2 linked regions of the Mytilus edulis genome follow. The protein of the gene in region 1 interacts with the protein of each later gene in a pairwise test. Links are inferred from orthologs where the notes say so. Each region holds a gene or a part of one and is shown on either strand. Other genes may lie near its edges. The genes, in order: transcription initiation factor TFIID subunit 11-like and protein Dr1-like.

Evidence for each region.
Region 2: the proteins of transcription initiation factor TFIID subunit 11-like (region 1) and protein Dr1-like interact in binary tests that used the Drosophila melanogaster proteins (3 or more experiments, as listed by UniProt). The link is inferred for Mytilus edulis from reciprocal best matches to the Drosophila melanogaster genes Taf11 and NC2beta.

The regions. Positions count from the first base shown.
Region 1 is NC_092350.1:19,129,608-19,142,601, forward strand, and holds the start of transcription initiation factor TFIID subunit 11-like, read right to left. Parts: upstream 6,966-12,994; 5' UTR 6,920-6,965; coding exon 6,672-6,919; intron 5,130-6,671; coding exon 5,042-5,129; intron 1-5,041. UniProt on the Drosophila melanogaster protein: The TFIID basal transcription factor complex plays a major role in the initiation of RNA polymerase II (Pol II)-dependent transcription.
Region 2 is NC_092345.1:62,857,756-62,870,468, forward strand, and holds the start of protein Dr1-like, read right to left. Parts: upstream 5,797-12,713; 5' UTR 5,709-5,796; intron 1-5,708. UniProt on the Drosophila melanogaster protein: Bifunctional basic transcription factor. Activates transcription of DPE (Downstream Promoter Element) containing promoters while repressing transcription of promoters which contain TATA elements.

The sequences.
Region 1 (12,994 bases):
ACATCAAAAAATGTAAAAAAAAGTATATGTCACCGACTTCGTTTTCAAGAAAAATCCATTTTTAAAATGGTCCGAGAGGGTACTAAATTACATTGAATATATAGGGTAAATCTATATTTTTCTTCTACAATTTTCGGTTTCTGGGATAAATCACGAGAACCGCTCCATAGAATTTTTTTTTAAATTAATATTTTTTTCCTCTTTGTCTTACGAATTAGATGATATTAAAAAAAATATGGTCACCGACTTCGTTTTCCTTGTAGAAGCGACGTAAACCCAACATTTTGACAAAAAAAACATCAAAATTCGTGACGTCGTAATTTTTATTATATAACGTCAAGTTAGCATGCTAATAATTTCCATCGTTCTTCGTGTTGATTATGCACGATGATTATGTGTTTCGTATTGATAGATTCTTTTTATCATAAGAGTCTGGATAATTATCATAAATTTTTATTTAGTATTACCAATATTCTTTATTATTTATATTTTACCACCTTATTATACACTTTTTCTTTTTTTTTCTTTTTTGCATTTTATTCTGCAATTTTTGCCCATTATTCTGTATTCCGTAAACCCCAATCAGACCCTCTTTTATGGATCATTTTAAAAAGAAATTATACGTTGTAAAAAATGTTCATTATCAATATACGTATGTAAAACAATTACTAATTCAGACAAAAATACGTTGTAAGTACATGAACGCAAAAATGGTAAAATCTTAAAAATAGAAATCATCAGGGTTACTGTCTACAAGTTGACGCAATAAAAGATGTAATTGAAGCTATATTTTTTATGCCCCCTCAACTTCCCCTGTACGTCTGTCCGTCCGTCATTCCGTCCGTCCAACATAACTCCTGTCCGTCCGTCCCCCTTTATAGTTTATAGTTATTCCGCAAAACATCTACAGTTTAAATCCTAGAACGTACTTTGCTGTCTGTTTGCATGTGGTCAGGATTTTGATCTTTATTAATATTTGCTCTACACTTCAAGTTAACAAGTAAAACACGCAGACAAACTGACATCTTTGTTAATATCTTTTTTGTTCTGTATAAAATTTATTGTATACAAGTCTACAAAAACGTTTTAAAAAGTTTACTAAATGGTTATTGTTCCATAAGTGTAAATATGTATGCTCGAAGTATATACAGAATCAGTACATGATACACAACATGTGACAAATAAAGGGGGGGGGGGGGGGGGTAGTAATGACAGGAAACTAAATTAAACTAAGGCTTTGATGAATGTAAACTTTAATAAAACTGGAAGTTACATAAGGGGAACAGGAAAATAAGAATATATTGCATCACTTACAACAACCTTTAAATTGACCAGTGATTTTTTATTCATCACTGACCAGCAACACCGAGATAATCCAACGATTTTTAAGGGTCCGTATGAAGTGTGGACCTAAATGTTCTTTATCTTTAGATATAACGCTTATTCTGTAAAATCTTCAATTAACGATTTTGTAAAATTCAGTACATGGTCTACACTATTATATTAAATAATAATTTTATTTTCCGTTGTTATTCTTTATAATTTTGCAAACTTTTTTGTTCAAATTTGACATTCGCTAGTATCCGTTATTCTGCAACTCCCTTTGAGATCTAATTATATGTGACAATAAATTATTGTGCTTCTCTCTCTGAATTTCGCTTTCTCTCAAGACATTTCACAGTAGTCTTTGTGGTACAGTGTATTTTCCAGAAAATACATCGTGTAAAAACATTTCCGAGGAAACCAAATTAACGGAGGTTGAGACATATGACATAAAAACAGATGTACATATTTATGTTTGATATGTCTACACCCCCCCCCCTTTCCCCCCAACCGAAAAAAAAACAAGAAAAAAACAATCGCACACAGGCTGAGACATGACTGGTAATATTGTGTTTTGTTATTTAGTCCATCTACACAAATGAGGTTGGACCTTAAACGGGACTCTGGGATCGGGTGTTTTTCAGCACGGGATTTTGGGATTGATCCTTTATGAATCCGGCTATTCTTTTTTCGAATTTCGGTATGGGATTGAAATTTCTATAAGTTCGGGACCTCGGGATTTCATGTTTTTAAAGCCGGGATTTCGGGATCAGGACCCCTGCACCCCCTGGATGCTGTCTTATTGAAGTACTGACTACTTACGGGATTTACATTTAACTTTCGGTACTGAAAGTCTGTGACATTGTGCATATTTTTCAGTCGGTATATATATATAGTAGTACTATGATATAGAGGTGATTGATATAATCTCGTTCTCAACCTTCAAGTTTTATGAGTGAATTTAGAATTGAGAACAGTTCTATTGTATATTGAGATGCTACTTTCAGCTAGGGTACATTTTTTTTTATTCGGTTAATTTTTACGAATCAATACTATTAGGATACTAAGCCCTGTATAAATCTTTAAACCAAATACTATTTATACATGTATCTATTTAAAGATTTGGGTTCTATTTTTAACATCGAAATTGCGGACGTGAAAGAAAGCACCATTAAAAAAAAACAACGTTAGATTACAAAATGTAGCGATGGATTAATGATCGTGAAACATCATTTTTGCTTATTTTTAATTTGTTATAGTCTAAAAACTGTGTATGAATATTAAAATAATTGTTCCAACCGTGAACAAGGTTAATTAATTTGTATTATAGTTTAGTGTCATCTATGACTGACTGACAGCAGCGGCGAATTTATGACCAGTATTAGTTTATGTGGTTCATTTCCTTTTCTCTAATTTGAAAATATTTTTACTTGTTCCGACTGGTGTGATAATTTTCAAAATATGGGAGATATTATAGTCTTACCGTACAACTTTTAACTTTAGTATTAATGTCCCAAAATTGCACCCTTCTGCTTATTTTCTGCTAGACGATGTCTTTTCCCAGTGAATATAGGGTTTTTGAAAGTACAGTTTTGACATACTACATATAGAATACTTCCGAGACCACACTGTTTTTTCTCATCACAATTATGTAGAAATAGTAGTGAGCAACAGTTTTCACACTTATTTTAACGTCAGCAGATATATACAAACGTCCTGATTTTCATTTTGAAGATCGTCTTCAGGACTGTTTTCATATTCATTTTCAATTTTTAATTTTAGAAAAACAAGTTCATTCTCCTATAAGTAACATACTTTCCGTCAAATTTACCGTTGACGTTGTCCCATCGAAAAGTCGCCGGGTGCAATTTTAACATTGCAAAATCTGGTCAAAGGGACGTAATTCGTACAAAACGTCGCAATATTTCGCGGAATCCGCTAGACGGCGTTCATTTACTGTTACTTTACCTTAACTAGTTCCACTTTTCAATAGAGAATGGTTTTTTTTTGTAACAGTTACATGTACTAAAAGTAAGTACATGTACATATTAAAATACAGGTCAAACAATAATGTTATTACAGTTAAACCAGCTTTAGCCTAATTGTTGATGATGTTTTAGCTACAAGTAAATGATGAACGCTAAGACAATAAAGCCAAGTCAATTTACTGTGTAAGTTTAAACCATAAATCATAATATGATATTTTTTACACTGGACGTTAAGCAACCAACAATCAATCAATCAATCAATGATATTTTTCCTCATTTGAAAACAAAGCTTATTCCAATCCAATGACATTACATTTGTATTTTTTATGTTATATGTATTTTTTGCAAAACATAGTACAAGTACAAGAGGCTGTCACAACGACAGCAAACCGGATTTATTAACATTTATTTGTGTCCTGGCTATATCACAAGAACCATTACTGATGAATGGTGAAAGTGAAAATCGTCAATATCAAATTTGACCTCCATTTTGTCATCAGTATCAACATATTAAAATTTGAAAAGCTTAGATTGAATGGTTCATGAGTAAATGCAACAACCTGAATGGAAACGCCATTTTACGATCTTTCAAGAACCATAACTCCTGAACGGTAAAAGTCAAAATCGTCATTATTGAACTTGACCTCTATTTTGTCATTAGTAACAACATATTAAAATTTCAAAAGCTTTGGTTGAATGGTTCATGAGAAAATGCACGGACACGACGGGAAAAACCATTTTTCAATCTTTCAAGAACCATAACTCCTGAACGGTAAAAGTCAAAATTGTCATTATTGAACTTGACCTCCATTTTGTCATCAGTAACAGCATATTAAAATTTCGGAAGCTTTGGTAGAACAGTTCATGCATAAATGCATAGACACGACTGGAAACTCTATTTTTCAATCTTTCAAGAACCATAACTCCTGAAAGGTAAAAGTCAAATTCGTCATTATTGAACTTGACCTCCATTCTTTCATTAGTAACAACATATTAAAATTTGGGAAGCTTTGGTAGAACAGTTCATGCGTAAATGCACGGACAACTCCATTTTTCAATCTTTCAAGAACCATAACTCCTGAACGGTAAAAGTCAAAATCGCCATTATTGAACTTGACCTTTGTATAGTTGTCAGTAATAACATATTAAAATTTTAAAAGCTTTGGTTGAACGGTTCATGAGTTAATGCACGGACAACATTTGATTGCCGCCCGCCCGCCCGCCCGACAGCCCGTCTGCCGCCCGCCCGCCCGCCGTACATCCCCAAATCACAAAAATCCGGTTAAAAATTGATCATAACATATAAACAGAATTATGTGCATTGAAGACTAAAAAAAATGAGTGAGTTTTATTGTAAAGTTTTTTTTGTGAAACATCTTCCTGTATCATGTGTATGTTATTTGACTGAAACTTGAATTGTTTCAAAGAAAACTTCTTCATACATACAAAGATGTCTTATATTAATGGTTTTGTTTGTTTAGTGGACTTTCTCTTCTTTAAAATTTTGTAGTGGTGTAACTGTTGTTTGTTCTGTTTCAACATGTACATGTTTACAAAATGTAGATTGACCCATTTGTACTCACTAAATTTGTAGTTTTTTATGTAATAAAAATGGCATTATATATGCATGAACAATTTTATACCCGAGTGATACTTCATAGAATGTTTGTTCAAGGCACCATACATGTACATATTTTATAATAATTATTTATACAAAAATTATATATTACCCTTTTAATTGAAGCTTTTGGAAATGCAGCTCTTCTGTACATTTCATATCTATTAAGTTGATCTTCTGTAAAGTTTGACACTAAAACCCTGAAATATACATTCAAAATTACAATACTTTTTCTTTAAACTGCAATTAAGTTCAATTAAAATCACAACTTTAACGCTGAAATAATAAGGTTAAAAGTGGAAGAAAATAATGTATCTATCTTTACTTTAGAATAAGGTCCGGAACACAATTACCATCCCTTGAAACAACTTTGTCAACAAAAGTTCCTAGTGAACATAAGGGCACCAATGATCTCCATGGATGAAAATTTATTGATCCAGCATCTACAGTGAAGTGTCATGGAAAGAATTTAATTCCTTTATTTGCATGTAAGGAATGGTGAACAAAAAACTTCAGAAGCCCCTTTCCAAAAAGTATTTAGCCACTTTTAACAAAAAATTTCATTGCAACATACTCTGCAATACACATTTGTTGATTATGAATGATAACCAGATGTTTTAAAAGGATTGTAAACTAGATATATGCTCTCTAAATTCAGATACAATGTAAGAAATTTCATCAGATTATCAAGTTCCAGTTAATATTCATATTTACTTTTTAATTTGTACAGGGATTCAATATCATCCCTTATTGATTTGCAAGTGTTCTTGGTACCAAATTATGTTTTCATTATGTCTTATTTTCACCTGTTTAAAAAGGGGATTGCTGATTGCGTAAGTCAGTATAAAAGCATGTGTTGAATGTTTTTGTTATTTTCTTTTTCACTTGTTAATAATTTATTTTTTTCATTCAAATTTTGATAGCATTTGCTGAACCAAAATAGTGTAATCAATTGTCTATCTTAATCAAGTGTTCTCCAGTCAGATGTGTCAATTTTTCTGTACAAGCTAGTGATTAGTGGTCTTTTGTAGGATATTATCCCTCAGGACTTTAAAACTGGAATTAGGAAAATTAAATTATACTTCAATAAGCCTATGGATTATGCAATTATGTACAACTGATTATAATTGCTGACATAAATGGCGGCAAGAGAACGAAACAAATTTGTCCATGACGGATGATTTAACGGTTGCAGGGATAATTAGAAGGAGGCTAGGCTCATATAGCAGGTCATGGAGATGAGGCGATTTGCCAGTGGGGAGAGGTTTGATGAATTCATTATACACCTTATCGCTATTTGTCTGCCATTACTGGATATCACACAGGTTCCCATAAAATTTAAATGTCATAAAACATAATAACTGACGCCAAATGGAAAAGTAATTGTTGTATGCATCAAGTTCAAACGGCCGGGACAGCTGGGATTACAATTAGTTGTATTCAGATTGGTTGTTTGTACAATGTCAATACGTACACCTTATCGCTATTTGTCCGCCATTACTGGATATCACACAGGTTCCCGTAAAGTTTTGACGTCATAAAACAAAATAACTGACGCCACAATGGAAAAGTGATTGTTGTATGCGTCAAAAGTTCAAGCGGCCGGGTCAGCCGGGATTAGCGATAAGGTGTATGACGTCCATGACATTGACAATGTAGATATTCAGTGTATTCAGAGGAACAAAGGTATGCCATTCACGTATACAACATTGAGAGCATACAACTGATTGTTTATTACGTACTGCATCTTCAATCGTTCTTCTTCTTGTTTTTCTTTTTTATGTTTATTAGCATTTTCCTCTTCTGGTGTTTCAAGCTTTCTTTTTCTTTCCTGAGATGGGCTAACACTTGATGCCTTTCCATCAGTTTTTGTCTCCTTTAGTTGCTTCTCTGGTGTTGTTTCACTCTCTGATCCAGATTGTCCTTCCTTCTCCACATCTTTTTCCACTTTTATAGGAGAGATTTTCGGTGAATCATTTGGCTGGCTCATTTTGTTTTCACCCGGAAGTGAATATCTGAGAACAAATGCACTTTCAAGTTTGATGTAATTTATGTTTGTATTAAACACATGTGTGACAGGACTAATCTCAGATGAAGGATTTCAAAAGTTGACGTTACGTCATCTTTTTTAAAAGCATTGATCTATTAGCTGAAAGTAAAATACTCAAAAGGTATATGATGACTTTAAAGTTCAACACTTTTGACCAAAAGTGCACTTTTCTCTCCGCCGAAAGCGTATGAATAACAAGTGCCCAGAATGTAAACAAAGTTTCAACATTATGTTTCGTGGTTCAAACTTAATTTGTTCTCCTTTTATTAATTCTGAGAAGACAATGATATGATTCTATAGTTCATTAGTATGGTTGATTTCTCAGCTAATCAATACTTAACTGGGAATGTTTGGTGAACTATTTAATGACATGATCGGCGGATGACCTCATTTCCGGTAAGAGTAAACAGTGAAATCACCTGGACATTTTATCAAGCAAGGAAAAAGAAGGGGAAAAGTGCCTGACAGTAATCTTTTCCATGTGAATTTTCACTTAACCGCTGAAATTTGGAGACTTAAGAATAAACTCCTGAAGGCCCGGGTAAGTAAATTATCAACCGTCAATACTGTCGCCCAGAAAACGGTTCAGTCATCATGAGTGATTAAAGCCCCACGTTATTCTTTTGGTATTGTCTGTTCAGTATGAAGAAACAATAGTGTCATATTGTATACCGTACTTCTAAGATACCAAAATTAAGACTTGCGGTAATTTGGAAGTTTTAAGATCAAAATGATTGGATGTCAGACTTATTCAGAAACTTTTTGAATGTCTGTGCGGTTCTTAAAATAATAGACAAGAGAAAACTTATAGCCTAATATAGGAAGTAAAATTGGTCATTGGAAAGGCTAAAACAATAAGTTTTAATAATCTCCCATATTTATATCTGTGTCAAATGTTAGGGATAAAGCATTAATTTCATTTAAAATTAATTTTCTCCTCTGTCTTGTCATGACACCATATATGATGGCCATAATACACTATCATGACTATAGGCAGTAGCAATTGCACTTACAATCTTGGAACGGCAAGATACACCATACCACACTCCTCAAAGCAAAGTTAAAGCTAAATGTTCAAACGAAGCAGAACCACACAATAGGTAGAAGCCAGTCCGCAATATCCAGACAGGATAGCCACATATCATCATCATGACTATATCGCTATTTGATCGCTAATACTGAACATCACTCGAGTTCTCGCAAATTTTGATGTCGTACATGTAGTAGTGAATGTCTTGACGCCACAAAAAAATGTAATAGTTGGTTGACGTCAATAGTTCATGTGTAATAGATTCATACATATACAATTCTAACAATTGCAGTGAAAGGCTTTGTACATGTATATAGAAATACAAACAGACACCTCCCAACCCCACAGCATTCAGGTGTGAGATTGATATGTTGCTGACACACTACCTGCATTGGTTTTTATATACAATTTACAATGTTTTAGTTTATTAGATGGTGTACCAGTGATATTGTAATCTTTTTTCAAAACTTCGGTTAACTACCTCTACCGTTTTTTATTGGGAAAATGCATATTTTTTTTTATTGAAATAGGGAAATTTGTATATTTTATTTAAAACCCATCTACGATTTTTTGCTGACCTGTGCTGTCTTTTTTGCACTGTTTTTCATGTATATTTTAATTTGGTTGTCAGACATTTTCAACCTGAAAGGTACTTTTTGGAGAGGGGAAAGAAACAGAAACAATGATGGTATTTATTGCATTGAAAACCACATGTGTTACAAACACCATGATGATTCTGATCAGAAAACCGGATCTCAAAAGTGCTTCCTAACATCAAAATAATAACATGAATACGAAATTTACAAACATTACTACCAATGCCATCACTGTTTGGGGAAAATGTAAACTTCAGGGATCTCCATGGCCTGTCTTGCGCCATCGTCAAATGACTTGCACTATCGTTCAAATGTCTTGCGCCATCGTCAAATGACTTGCGCCATCGTTCAAAACTGTGATAGTTTTTATAGCCTGATGCCATTTTTTTAGCAATTATAATCAAATGCATGTAATTGCATAACCTTCAGGCTTTCTTTACAGTATAATCCAGTTCAAACGCCTGAGGGATATCCGGATTAGATCGCTAATCACTTGTACCTGAGCCCTGAGCTTGTACAGGTAGATCAACAAAGCAGACAGGAGAATATTATCTGAAGATAGACGATTCATTTGTCAAATTATTTAATTAAGTTTCCGCAAATGCTTATGATAATTCAGATTAAATAAATAAATTAATAGTCCAGTTACAAAGTTTAACAACAACAAGTAGAACACATGCTTTTATTTTGACTTACGCAATCAGCATCCCCCTTTTTAAGAAGTACAAAATAAGACGTAAAACAGAGAAGTTATTATTTCATCGCATATAACTGGAGTACTGCTGTATTGTAACGATAATATATAGTGTTTCCTACAGGTGGTTTTGGCGTGTAATGGCGCCCTGCCGCGATTTCTTGACGCCCTGCCCTTTTTGGGGAAAAAAATTGGCGCCCTGCCCTAATTTTGTCGAAATTCCTGACGCCATGCCTTTATCGTCGTAATTAACAACCGGTACTGAAAGACATATTTTATGAATACCGCTCGAGTTATTTCCCTTCAAAACAAAAGTTCACTAGGTCGCCATTTAGTAATCGATTTCGTAATCAGCTGATTAGCAAACTGCAATAGATTGAATAGTGAATACAGATACTAATCACGGGTCCTGATTGTATCCCCCAAGTCCCAGAAACATCGTTTTGCCTAGAAGATTAATGAAAAAACATCGTTGTGATGCTTAGATAATTTTTTTTTACAGCTGATAGATTTCTAATTTACATAATTTACATTGTTTGCATGGTTGAACAAGCCAATGAACGGCGATCATGAGACATTTGTCAAATTGAAAAGTAAAAATTCTTTGCAAACTATTTTTTAGATACAAATGCTTGACTGTACCTTAAATGAAATGAATAAAAATCCAAACTAAATTATTAAAAGCAGAATAATCCAGAAAATAAATGAATTCCTTGATCAAATGTTTTCTTTTGTTTACAAACATGTCACATGATCATTTTAGGCGGGGAAAATACTTGGGAAAACACCTAAGTAACAGACAACTATGTCTGGCTATTTATAGACATTGAAAATAAACAGCTGATATGGTAGTGCCATGAAAGTAGTAAAACTTGTTGTATCTATATTAATTTAATTTGGAAAAGGGTGTAGAGGGGAAGGGGTTAATTTGTAAAGTTATTTTTTTTTGTAATTTAATAAATTTTGGTTACTAAAAATTACCCTGGATATCAGGGAATGTGTCAACCTGTTTTTAGGGAAAAAAAGGAGGATTTGTCAATGACAATTGATATGACCAAAGCAATATTTTTATATACATGTATATGACATAGTGCTTTCTTGTTTTTAAAGAACTGATTTTGTTTTTAATTGTGTTTATTGTTTTAAATATTTCATATATATATGTTTTAAACACTTTTTCTTGTTTAACAATTTGTTTTAATGATTGATTACAGATGTATATGTCCTTTTTATAGTATTAAACTAGTATGTTTTAAATGAATCCATTTTATAGAAATTAAGTAAGTGCCCTAAAATTGTTGTCCATCGCGCTTAATGTGCCCTCTGAGCTAACAATTACCCTGCCCTTTTTAAAAGCTGCAGGAAACACTAATATAGAATTACTTTAAATGTTAAAAAGTAAAAACTTTTAATATTTCCTGTAAATAAATATTGTATCGTAATTCCGAATTCATTTCGTAGTTTACAATCAAATTGATACATCCGCGTTTCCGGTTTCTATTCAGACTCGAAAGATGCATGTTGCATATAGTATCGATTTGCTAGATAAAGTCATTAAAAACCTTTTCATATGACAACGTTCGCTTTACAAATCTTTTTAACCTTTACATAACCCGTACGACTCGTTTTGTCGTTGCTGCAAACCAGCCACACCGGTAATGGATTCATGAATTCTGAATTTGACAATGTCCGTGAAAAATAAGCTCTACATGAATTTTAACCCCCATTACAATTGCCAAAAATAGCAAGAAAACTACATTAGGACCTTTCGTGATAGCTATTGGTCATTCTCGACTAAGGGAAAGGGAGGGACACAAGGGCTTGGCCTTTAAAGGTTACAAACGGCAATTATTGAAAATATATATACTTTTATATAGTATTTATAATGAAAATTCAAATAAATATAAATTAAATAAGCAATGTTCACCTATCCTTATGTGGAGGGATGAAATACTTTCGATCGCGCTACACTGTACGGCGTAAATACAGTTTATGATGGTGAAAGTTCCTCCATTGTTCAATTTTCATCCATGGAGATCCCTGAACTTTTTGGGAGGAATTTTAAACATTTTTTTTAGTAATTGGGAATTTTCTCTAGGGGAAAAAGCTGAATTTTGGCTGTAATATGAGGCAAACAATATCACTGTGTACATGTATGCCACCACTTTCAACTTACATGTACATCATTTATCTTCATTGCTTTGATTGGTAGAGCAATTCCTAATCAACCACCAACAAACTCTTTCACATTAATTTCAGATTAATATTCCCATGAAAAAAGTTCCTTCACACAAGAAAGTTGATTTCCTATGACATCATTTCACAAGCTCTTTCACACATACACAAAGATCAATCAGACAAGCTCTTTCACACTGATGCAGGAATAATAATTTCCAAATCCAACAAGCTCTTTCACAGGAAGATTGACATTCCAATCCCATAGGGCTCTTTCAAACACACAAAGATTGAATTCCCAATCTGACCAGCTCTTTTGAATTCACACACACGAAGATTGACTTCCAAATCTGACAAGCTCTTTCACACACACATATCAATTTCCTTTATAGCAAGCTCTTTCACATAGATGAAAGATTGTTTTCCCAATCTGTAAAGCTCCTTCACACAGGAATGCTGATTTCAAAATCCAACAAAACTCAACCAAAAATTGTTTTCCCTTCTTTAGTCATGATCATGGTTATAGAATTCTGTTAACTGTTTTCAAAGCTGTAATCAAAAGCAAAGAATGCAACACATACATGTATTCTTTGCTTATTGATAGAATGGACATTTTGTTGCATAAAGGTGGGAACACTGCATCGTCCAATTCAGTATTACTAGCAGTCTACATGCTTAACCACAAGTCCTACAGCATTGGCTAGTAAAATTCTTTTCTACGATTAAACAGAATCCAACTAAAATTTTCAAAAAATTGAGCTTCTGGCTTCTGAGCATGTGGACTCAAAAAGTTTTAAGCGTGAAGGTTGTAGTAATATAAATACTGAACATTTGATTTGTAATGAGGTAGGTCATTTAATCGACATTGACACCTGTTCGTTTTACAAACAAATACTATAAATTACTAAACATAATTAGTATACATTCTGAAACCTGCACAAACTTTATGTTAGCTTTATGTCAACAAGAAAATGTTAAGTTGTTTATATAATTCATTGATAGAATTAATTACATGTACATAATTGTACGGGAGAACTATATTAGACAAGAGGAGACCAATACAGATGTTTGATGATGACCGCATACATGTACAATGATGTATATGTATTACATAGTATTACATAATATTTGAGACTGCAGAATTTTGTCCTTGGTGCAATGTAGGCGTTAAGATATTGATTTCATTTAGCAGTTGATCTGTGTTATATATTTTATTGTATAAATTTCATTAAATGTTAATATGACTGTGGATATATTCTTCAATTGTTTAAATTAAAGGAGATGTAGGGTAAATCATTAATGACAAATCATTGTCCATGAAACAACAAATTAACACATAACTTAGTCTTTCATTGCTAGTACTTTTCCCATTTTAAACAAGTCATTGGTACCCCTTGATTAAGAAATGACAATATACATTGTATTATGTAAGGTATTCATAGAATAAATAAAAAAAGTTCCTCTCTAAAATGTTCGAAAGACCTACCCTACATTAAAAAAAGTATCAGAAGGTAGCATTA
Region 2 (12,713 bases), on another chromosome or scaffold:
TTGCTTTTTAAAAGTTCAGAATATCTTATATATACTTTTTTAAAAGCCGTAAATTATTTATAACATAAATGTGTATACTAAATAGGGAATATTAAGTAAAACAGAGAGTTTATATATACAAGAGGACAGTGACTCAGTCACAAAAGGTTTACATCAAAGTCTAAGAGACAATATGATATCAATAAAATTCCAATAAAATCCAATGACGATTTTGACACAAATAGGGTTGGAAATTAATAATATAACAATTATAGTCTATGTTAGTCCTAGATTACTAAGTAGATAATTGCCCGTCTAAAATAGATGCGCTGCTTCGTCCCCTCTGGTGCCAACGGACGGCCCTGGAATTATATAAATCGGGCATCAATTTGTTCATTTTTCATTTATTTCTTCATTTATGTAAGTTTCACCTACCTGCCACCCTTTATTTTCTCTTTTTAGACAGTTTTCACAGTGACCCATTGATTCAGACATTTTTACAGTTATTTTCAAATGCATGGAAGTTAAATTACGAGAGATTTCGCGACCTCGAGACTCAAATATGCAAATGTTTATACTTTTTTCACCTCCTTTATAGGGGATCGTTATTTAACATTTAGTAGTCAACCATGATTTTTCACCTCCTTCACAGGAGATCAGTATTAAGCATTTAGTGCCAACCACGATCACATTCGGAAGCTCTTAGATATTAACATTGATGGCATCGTTAATGAGGGAGGTGTTAGATTATATATTCATATTGACCTAAGGTCATATCATTTCTCATAGTCCATTGTGCCTAAGTTTTTTCTCGTGATCACATGACAGTAGTTGAAATGCAAGAACCGGTGGGTCACTGTGAAAACTGTCTAAATATGAGAAAATAAAGGGTGGCAGGTAGGTGAAACTTACATAAATGAAGAGATAAACTAGAGGCTCTCAAGAGCCTGTGTCACTCACCTGTTACTGATGTCGGCCATCTTGGTTGGTAGGCAGGGCTCATTAGACACTTTTTTAAAATAGATACCCTAGTAATGATTGTGGCCAAGTTTGGTTAAATTTGGCCAATAGTTTTAGAAAAGAAGATTTTTGTACAAGTTACAAAAATGACGAAAAGTTGTTCAATATTGACTATAAAGGACAATAACTCCTTAAGGGGTTCTCTGACAATTTTGGTCATGTTTGACTTATTTGTAGATCTTACTTTGATGAACAATATTGCTGTTTACAGTTTATCTCTATCTATAATAGTATTCAAAATAATAACCAAAAACTGCAAAATTTCCTTAAAATTACCAATTTTAGGGCAGCAACCCAACAACTGTTGTAGGATTCACCTGAAAATTTGTGAGGGGATTGATCTTATCCTGATGGACATTTAAATCTTTCTTAAAAGATTTGCCCTAAATGTCTTGGTTTCGAAGAAATAAAGCAAAAACTGCATTTTACCACTATGTTATAATTTTAGCCATGTCGGCCATTTTGTTTGGTAGGTGGGGTCATCGGACACATTTTTTAAAGTATATACCACAATTATGATTGTGGCCAAGTTAGTTTAAATTTGGCTGAGTAGTTTCAGAGAAGAAGATTTTTGTACAAGTTACAAAAAAGTTGTTAAAATTGACTATAAAGGGCAATAACTCCTTAAGGGGTTGACTGACAATTTTGGTCATGTTAACTTATTTGTAGGTCTTATTTTGCTGAACATTATTGCTGTAACAGTTTATCTCTATCTATAATAGTATTCAAAATAATAACCAACCAGGTGTTCCGCAGGGCGCAGCTTTATACGACCGCAGAGGTCGAACCCTGAACAGTTGGGGCAAGTATGGACAAAACATTCAAGCATGATACAGCTCTGAACTTGGATTGTGATCAAATTTTTGACATTATATGGGTTTTTTACACAAAAACAAATGTCAAGATTTTACAAATCAATTAAAGATTTCTTCTTCAAACTTATTTAAATCTAAAATTAAATAGTTGACACAGAATAGGTTTCTGACACAGAATGAATGTGGACTAATGAACTTAAAATTATTTTTTTTTGCCTTTGAGCAATTCACTATGCTGTTGAATATTAATCCTCTCAAAAATATGTTTGAAGAAATTTTCTTTTTATTTATGAAATCTGAAATGAGAAAAATTTAACCCCCCCCCCCCTCTCATTTTTTTTTTCACATCCCCCTTTCCCTTTTTCCAAAACTGATATCAATTCAAATTTCTAATGGAGTTTGCAACAATAACTACTCTTAAATACATCATAAAATATTAAAATGTAAAATAAAGTGCTTGTTATCACTGAATGGTAAAGATTGGTTGGTAGTAAAAGTAAATATACATTGTATATTGTATAAAACAATGATTTAAGTTGATTCAACTACTATTCTGAACAAAGAAAGATAACTCCAATTGAAAATTTCTTGCTATTGCACAATATTGTGCAATTAGATATTTCTTACTATTGCGCAATACTGTGTAATTGAAAATATTTGCTATTGCACAATACTGTGCAATTGAAGATTTCTTGCTATTGCTGAATACTGTGCAATTGAAAATTTCTTGCTATTGCTCAATACTTAATTTAATAATTTTGGATCCTGATTTGAACCAACTTGAAAACTGGGTCCATAATCAAAAATCTAAGTACATGTTTAGATTCAGCATATCAAAGAACCTCAAGGATTCAATTTTTGTTAAAATCAAACTAAGTTTAATTTTGGACCCTTTGGACCTTAATCTAGACCAATTTGAAAACGGGACCAAAACTTAAGAATCTACATACACAGTTAGATTCGGCATATCAAAGAACCCCAATTATTCAATTTTTGATGAAATCAAACAAAGTTCAATTTTGGACCCTTTGGGCCCCTTATTCCTAAACTGTTAGGACCAAAACTCCCAAAATAAAACCCAACCTTCCTTTTATGGTCATAAACCTTGTGTTTAAATTTCATAGATTTCTATTTACTTATACTAAAGTTATGGTGCGAAAACCAAGACTAATGCTTATTTGGGCCCCTTTTTGGCCCCTAATTCCTAAACTGTTGAGACCTCAACTCCCAAAATCGATCCAAACCTTCCTTTTGTGGTCATAAACCTTGTGTTTACATTTCATTGATTTCTATTTACTTATACTAAAGTTATTGTGCGAAAACCAAGAATAATGCTTATTTGGGCCCTTTTTTAGCCCCTAATTCCTAAACTGTTGGAATTAAACATCCCAAAATCAATCCCATCCTTCCTTTTGTAGTCATAAACCTTGTGTTAAAATTTCATAGATTTCTATTTTCTTAAACTAAAGTTATAGTGCGAAAACCAAGAAAATGCTTATTTGGGCCCTTTTTGGCCCCTAATTCCTAAAATATTGGGACCAAAACTCCCAAAATCAATCCCAACCTTCCTTTTGTGGTCACAAACCTTGTGTCAAAATTTCATAGATGTCTATTCACTTTTACTAAAGTTAGAGTGCGAAAACTAAAAGTATTCGGACAACGACGACGATGCCGACGACGCAGACGACGACGCCAACATCATACCAATATACGACCAAAAAATTTTCAATTTTTGCGGTCATATAAAAACTGCAAAATTTTCTTAAAATTACCAATTCAGGGGCAGCAACCCAACAACAGGTTATCCGATTCGTCTGAAAATTTCAGGGCAGATAGATCTTGACCTGATCAACAATTTTACCCAAGTCAGATTTGCTCTAAATGCTTTGGTTTTAAAGATATAAGCCAAAATATACATTTTACCCCTGTGTTCTATTTTTAGCCATGGCAGCCATCTTGGTTTGATGGCCAGGTCATAGGACACATTTTTTAAACTAGATACCCCAAGGATGATTGTGGCCAAGTGTGATTAAATTTGGCCCAGTAGTTTCAGAGGAGAAGATTTTTGTAAAAGTTTACGGACCCCAGACCACGGACGACGGACGCCAAGTGATGAGAAAAGCTCACTTGACCTTTCAGGTCAGGTGAGCTAATAAAAAATGAACAAATTGATACCCGATTTATATAATTCCAAGGCCGTCTGTTGGCACCAGAAGCGAAGAAGCAGCGCATCTATTTTGGATGGGCAAATATCCATTTTTGATATGGGACAAGCTCTGACGTCCCATGGCCCCAGCTTGTCTGGCAAAACATCCGTTGGATGTCAGAGTAATCAAAGACCAAGTCTATGTATGAAGTCAATACAGGATACACTGACCCAAAGAAGTATATCTACCTAGGACTTCGTCCTCTGTCAATATACTTCTTTCAGGTCAATATTTCCTCCTGTGATATCATCTTCAATTTGTTGAAGGTGATCACTATATGTTAGAATAGAATAGAAAATAGAGAATACATCCTTGTAGCGACCTCAGGGTAACACGAATGACCGAATAACACTGTTATTATCCTAATAAAACATAGAATAGAACATGGCGGCCAATGTGATGTCTGTGGTCACCATGTTGGACGTACACACTAAATTTTAAAAGTTTGTTATGAACTAATCTTCTTTCTACAGTCAGGGGACTTACTGAAATAAGTGATTTTTAAATCACTTATTTGAGTAGCAAATTCAAAGTTTTGTCACAAATTGGGATTTTGTAGTTTTTTCAAAATTTTAAACACATAGGTTTAAATAATATCTTTTAATTAGTAAAATTGAAAAAAATGAACTTTTTGCTTCTTTTAAGTAGTAAGGTTTATGCCTTTGATGCTATCATTTAGCTGAAAATTCTATTTTAGTTGAAAAAATGCTATAATAATGGCTTTACATAATGAACTGATACTTTCATAACAGATTTTTCCAGGCAGTGGGAGTATTTTTCCTGTAAAGTTCAAGGTTTCATCTTTCAGATTATGTAATAAAATTCTACTGTTCGCGATAAAAATTTCACTGTTCGCAGGTGTTGAAATTAGTGGGGGTTATTAAAATAATGATACTTAAATAAGTGATTTTTGGGAAGGAAATTGAGGTATGATACTTAAACAAGTGATTTTAATGTCATTATCCTAGATTCAGTACAAGGTCATCACCTGAAATGACCTGGTCATCCTAAACAACACAGATGTTGGTTCTGATAAGTTTAGAAACATAATTAGTCCCTGGATCATTTGTATTCTTTATTTAAAGCTACAATAAGATTAAATCACTTCTTCTAGTGATTAATTTGTACTACTTAAATAGGTGATTATTAAAGAAAGACAACTCTTACTTCCAACTTTTATGGAAATAATGTTACTTAAACCAGTGATTTAGAAAATCACTCATTAAGTAAGTATAAATCATTTATAAGTTATGAAATACATTGATAATATACTATAATTTAATGATCAATGTTTAAAAGTCACCAATATGTGGTAATATTAAAAATTTCAAGTGTTATTCAGTCTTTACAAGTGTAATTTGGATATTAACAGTGTTATTCGGTCATTCGAGGTACTGTCGACCTCATACAAAGGCTATAATTGTATGGTATTGCAAATATGCAAAATGGCTACAATACCAACTGTATCCCCAAACAATTATAGCATATGCCTTATTATTACAAAGATATGTATAATGAACTATAAAATATACATTTTACATGTTTGTTTTGATTTCCACAGTTGCTTCGAGTTTGATATTTTGCCATTACGTTCTTGTTTGTCAATCGCTCGTTTGGATTTATATAAAGCATTCATTCATTGTTGGGATATATTTCGTTAACATACATTAGAGTTCTATATTCTTACAAGGGCTTTGTTAAAATAGTACGTTGCAATCAATGAAACATTTCTTTCTTTCCTTCTGTTTAGGAAGAGAAGGGAGGTAATTAGAAAATTATAAATGTGTAATCAATTTCGGCTTTTGTTTCCGGATTTTACGAGGTCTCGGTCACCCCAACTCCCACTCCAACTTTGTAAAATAAGATAGACCTACCAGAGACATAGATACTCATTATATATATGTCTCTGAACCTACTTTGACAAAAATAGAACATTTGATGTTATTGTTTACTAAAAAAAACCAGGAACATATATATATTAACAGTTAGATATACTGTTCCCAGAACAAACAAAATCCAGAAATGAGAAACTTTTGTTGCAAGAGAAATATATTGTATCTGATTTTATGCCCTTTATGGGCCCTGTAATTTGGAAAATAAAAATCATGTTTCTATTCTATTCTATTCTATTCAGGCCATTTTGAGCAAAAATTTAATTGTCTACCGATTTTGCATTAAAAATTTATGCGCCCCATGGTATACTTCTTTAAGGATTGTATCTTTTTTTCAAAGCTAAACATATTGACATTTTATAGAAAATCTTCAGCATTTCCCTATATACACAAAGGAGGTTAATTATCACGTTATCATGTATACCTCCCAGTGGCGTAGCTGGGTCATTTTTACGTGTACGCCCGAACCTTGGCGAGGGATATGAGGGGTGTCAACCGCTCAATGTTAAAGCACCTGCTGGTAGTGGGTTCGAAAGGGACGAAGCCCCCGAAAGCTATCGAGAATGAGATACCGTAATGATTCCTGTCAGTAAAAAATCATTGATAGCAACATACTTTTGAATCCGTAAATGGTTTGTTTGTTTTGGTTAAATCTTGTAATATGTTAACTTATTCATCGTGTTAAACTGGAAGCTAGCCTAATGGTCATTGGTTTTACAGAAAACGTCCAAACCAATATTACTTTTAAATAAGTTTAAATGGTGCCGTGAGTGAGCATACAATCCACAAAAGCACCTTTTAATGAACACGAAAAAAAAATATTTCTAAGAGGTGCAATATAAAAAAACTTCTGGAACACCTAGGATTTCTTCCCACAAAAAGTGAATCAATTTATCGTTCCTTTAAAGGGATTTAAAAAAAATCTAAAATTTTCTTTTGATATTTTTTTTCTTGATCTGGAATATTTCACGACAATCTATGAAGGTTTATAAATTGAGCATGTAAAACAATTAATTGCGTAAAGAAGAGTCCGGCTATCCTGCTGTCTATCAGAAAAGAATAGAAAATTAACGAAAAAAATGCTTTCAAAATTTTAGCTTTAGAAATAAGTAATAGAAAAAAAAGCTTCTTCGGCATTTTCATAAAATTCGATGAAGGTTCGACAAGTAGTTAATGTAATTGAGAAATAACAAAATGTAAGCCCAAACTGCGACCACTTATTAATTGCAGAAAGAAATACATTTTGTCCTTAAAATGCGGGAAAATTAAAGATATAATTGCATTATTATATTGCTCTGAATACTCTCTTGTTCATAAACAGTTTCTGTCCAACTTTCGTAAAATTTCACGGAAAGTCATTCAAAAGACTTTATCCACATTCGGAACCTAAATGTTGTCTCGCTTTTGGGACATAAATCACTGGCTCGACAAAAATACAAACAGCATATCGAATCTGAGCAGATAGTGAATTGCTTTAAATATAAGAAAAGTACGTAGAATTCATAGTAGATTCAGACTTTTACCAAAGATTCGAACAAATATATTAAATGATTTATTTGAGTAAATTTAGTCCCTTTTTATTCAAAATTACAATCCATTGAAAAAAGAAGCACAAGGCTGATGTGCTTTTGACCAGTTTTTCTTATTCTATGTCGAATATTTGTTTTATTTTAAAAATTCAAGTGTACGCCCGGGCGTTTTGACGTAAACGTAGCTACGCGCATGAATGAAATACAGGGGGAGTCCCTGGGGTCACCCCACCACTCCTGTTTGGGAACTTTGAAACAGTCGAGATCCCCACCCCTAAACCATATATATTTATGTATGGGACAATATAATAAATCGAATGAAATATAGGGGGAGTCCCTGTGGGTCATCCCACCCCTCCTGTTTGAGAACTTGGAAACGGTCGAGATCCCCACCCCTAAACCATATCATGAAAATTATTCATGTATGGGACAATATAACAAATCAATATGAAATATAGGTGGAGTTCGTGGGGCCACTCTACCCCTTCCTGTTTGAGAATTTGAAAACGGTTGAGATCCCCTCCATAAACCATATATATATTCATGTATTGGACAATATAATAAATCAAATGAATTATAGGGGGAGTCCCTAGGGTCACTGCACCCTCATGTTTGAGAACTTGGAAACAGTCGAGATCCTCACCACGTAACCATATATACTCATGTATGGGACTAAATAACAAATCAATAAAATATAGGGGAAGTCCCTGTGGTCACCCCAACCCTCCTGTTGTTTGAGAACTTGGAAATAGTCGAGATCATAGCCTTAAATTAAACCATATATTTTCATGTATGGGAAAAAAGAACAAATCAAATGAAATATAGGGAGAGTCCTAAGGGTCACCCCTATCCAATCCTGTTTGATAACTTGGAAACAGATGAGATCCCAACCCCTCAACCATATATATTCATGTATTGGACAATATAACAAATCAAATGAAATATAGGGGAAGTCACTGGGGTCCCCCACCCCTAAACCATATATATTCATATATGGGACAATATAACAAATCAAATGAAAAATAGGGGTAGTCCCTAGGGTCACTCACACCCTCTTGTGTGTGTTTTGAGAACTTGTAAAAGATTGAGATACCAACTCCTAAACCATATTCATTCCTGTTTGTCATTTCAAAAAGATTGAATGACATACAAGGTCAATCTCATAGGCGTCACATATGCATATCAATTTGCTAGACCTAACACCTGTCATTTTATTCCGAACTTAGACATCATGGACTTGGGTTGAAGGTGGGAGTCATTTACATTTACTATGAACAGGTCAGTCAGACCTCACTATTGATCCCTGTAGTAGTAAACATTTGTGTCTGATTTGTGTCTCATAACTTTTGTACTGTAGAACACAAACTCAGTTTTCTTTCCAGGGAATTCGAAGCAAGTCCATTCATATTTTACAAGCTCGTACTAAAGTCAACTTAAAATACAAACAGTCAACTAATACGAACAATTACGATCAACTAGAAGAACTGCAATCATTGCGAATTTGTACCACTGCTGACTCGAGACTCATGACCATGAAAAAAATATACTTGATATATACGTTGCTATTGAAAACCTTGATAAAATATGAATTATTTGCCTTAATGATTAATTCATTAAATGAACATAAATGTACAATTATATATGAATGTTTAATGTTTGTTCTTTTAAATCTTTAAAAAAAAAATGAAGCAATATTGCCACAGTTTTCATAATTATGTTTGACTTGGTTTTTGGTTAACTGCCTACAGTGCTTACAGCGCTTTGATTTTTAATTAGTTGCTTGGTGACAAGATATCATGGGGAACATTATCAAACCTACCTACCTACCTATGTAGTCCTTTTTATGCCCGGAGTTACATAAGGCAAAGACTAGATCTTTCTAATCATATCTGGTGTGCACAAGGATAATAGTTACGCTGAACGGTGCCCACTGGTCACCCTATAAATAGTACTCTTCTGTGTAGTAATATTGGTGTTCTAAAAATAGAAAACTAAAAATAGACCATTCTTCTTTCTATTTAGCAATACACCATATATCTAGAGCCTGTCACCGTCTGTATTATCTGTAAGTAAAATCAACATACCGAGCAATTGAATACAACGAATAACACAAACTTAAGTTTAATTAAGTCATTCAAAGCAAAATATTCGTTTCATCCATTTTGCATGATTTGTCATTTGTGATGACACGTTTTTTTGAATGTTCGAATCACAGACTAGAAGGAAATCTTCTTTTTTCAGAAGTCCCCAGAAAATGGAGATGAGAGTGGTATGTATGCATTTAATTTATTGTATAAAACCTTTAATATGATGGAAACATACACTATGTTTATATAATGCTGCAACTATTATTCTTTTTGAACTTAAAACTTGCAATCGTTTCTGGTAAAATGGCCACTTAGGCTTGATTTAACAAATCATTTTTATGTTTCTTGATTACCTTACACAAATATAGAATTTGATTACATGTGGTCATCTTAACCAGAAATGGGATTTGTTAACATCTGTTAAACTTTATATGTTAGAATGGGGTAACTTCTGGTCACCTTATGTTAATATTAGATTTGGTGACTTCTGGTCACCTTATGTAAATATTGGATTTGGTTACCTCTGGTCACCTTATGCAGATTTCAGATTTGGTCATCTCTGGTAATTAACATTTACATACAACTAGTTGATGTTTTTCATATCATTTGTAGAAAGTTTGAGACGATCAAAGAAAGAGAAAAAAGAAGAAGAACAGGTTTGATATACATTTTGGGTTCAACAAGAATATAGAATATTATTACATTAAGTTTAATATATCGATAAAACTTTACACAATGAACATTATCTTTCATGATCATCTACAAACAAATCAAAGAAAAATCCTTGATCTTTCAAATATTGCCAAGAGCATGAACAGTCGATAATTTAGTCAATATTTCTACTTATCCTCATCAGATACTTTTGGATAAATGAAATTGAATTTACTAATACAATTATCATATGTTTATCTTCTTTTTTCAGAACTCCTCAGAAAATGTAGATGAGAGTGGTATGTATGCATTTTATTTATTGTATTAAACCTTTAATATGATGGAAACATACACTATGCTTATATAATGCTGCAACTATTCATCTTTTTGAACTTAATACTTGCAATCGTTTCTAGTAAAATGGCCACTTAGGCTTGATTGAACAAATCATTTTTGTTTCTTGATTACCTTACACAAATATTTAATTTGATTACATGTGGTCATCTTAACCAGAAATGGGATTTGATAACCTTTGGTGGCCTTAACATGCTAGAATGGGGTAACTTCTGGTCACCTTATTCATATATTGGATTTGGTGACCTCTGGTCACCTTTTGTTAATATTGGATTTGAAGACCTCTGGTAATATAAGATTAAGTTACCTCTGGTCACCTTATTTATATATTAGATTTGGTGACCTCTGGTCACCTTATGTTAATATTGGATTTGGTTATCTCTGGTCACCTTATGTTTATATTGGATTTGGTTATCTCTGGTCAACTTATGTTTAAATTGGATTTGGTTACCTCTGGTCACTTTATGTTAATATTAAATTTGGTGACCCTGGTCACCTTATGTAAATATTGGATTTGGTTACCTCTGGTCACCTTATGCAGATTTCAGATTTGGTCATCTCTGGTAATTAACATTTACATACAACTAGTTGATGTTTTTCATATCATTTGTAGAAAGTTTGAGACAATGAAAGAGAGAGAAAAAAAGAAGAAGAACAGGTTTGATATACATTATTGGTTCAACAAGAATATAGAATATTATAACATTAAGTTTAATATACCGATAAAACTTTACACAATGAACATTATCTTTCATGATCATCTACAAACAAAGCAAAGAAAAATACTTGATCTTTCAAACATTGCCAAGAGCATTGCCAGTTGCTAATTAAGTAAAATAATACTGATCCTCATAAGATACTTTTGGATAAATAAAATTGAATTTACTAATACAATTATCCTATATTTATCTTTTTTTTTTCAGAAGTTTTCAGAAAATGTAGATGAGAGTGGTATGTATGCATTTAATTAATTGTGTCAAACCTTTAATATGATGAAAACATACACTATGTTTATATAATGCTGCAACTATTATTCTTTTTGAACTTAAATCTTGCAATCGTGACTGGTAAAATGGCCACTTAGGCTTGATTGAACAAATCATTTTTTTGTTTCTTGATTACCTTACATAAATATTTAATTTGATTACATGTGGTCATCTTAATCAGAAATGGGATATGTTAACCTCTGGTGGCCTTAACATGCTAGAATTGGGTACCTTCTGGTCACCTTATTCATATATTGGATTTGATGACCTCTGGTCACCTTATGTAAATATTGGATTTGGTGACCTCTGGTCACCTTATGTTAATATTAGATTTGGTGACCTCTGGCCACCTTATGTTAATATTGGATTTGGTTACCTCATGCTGAATTCAGATTTGGTTACCTCTTGTCATCAAAACATAAGTCGTGTTATGTTTTTTATCATTTGTAGGAAATGTAAGACAATCGAAGAGAGGAAAAAAGGAACAAGAACAAGAACAGGTTTGATATGCATTACTGCATGTTACATTAAAAATATTAATTACACTCAACAGAATGAACATTGTCTATCCTGATCTTTTAAAAAACAAATCTTAGAAAATCATTGACCTTGCAAACATTGCTAAGAGTATTGACAGTTGATAATTTAGTCAATTTTTATTTATCCAATAAGATAGTTTTGGATAAATAGAATTGAATTTACTAATACAAATATCATTTGTTTATCTTCTTTTTTCAGAAGTACTCAGAAAATGTAGATGAAAGTGGTATGTATGCATTTAATTTGTTATATATAATTCTTATATATGATGGATAAGTACATCAAGTGTGTATGATACTGAAACTATAATTCTATTTGAACTTAAAACTTGTTATCGATAGCTGTAAAATGGCTACTTCGGTTTGATTGAAAAGTTCATTTTTTTGGTATATTTAATTGGCTACATGTGGTCAACTTTACCAGATATGGTTTTTGAGTACCCTAAGTAACCTTAAAATGATATAGAATTGTGTTACCACTGGTCACCTAATGTAGATAATAGACTTGGTTACCTAAAGCAGATATTGTATTTAGTTATCTTTGGTCATTTTCTGTTGTTATTTGAATTCTCGTGGCACCTTTTGCAGATTTCGGATTTTGTTATTCACTGGTCATTAAAATTTACAAAAATTGGTCATATGTAGTCTTAGATG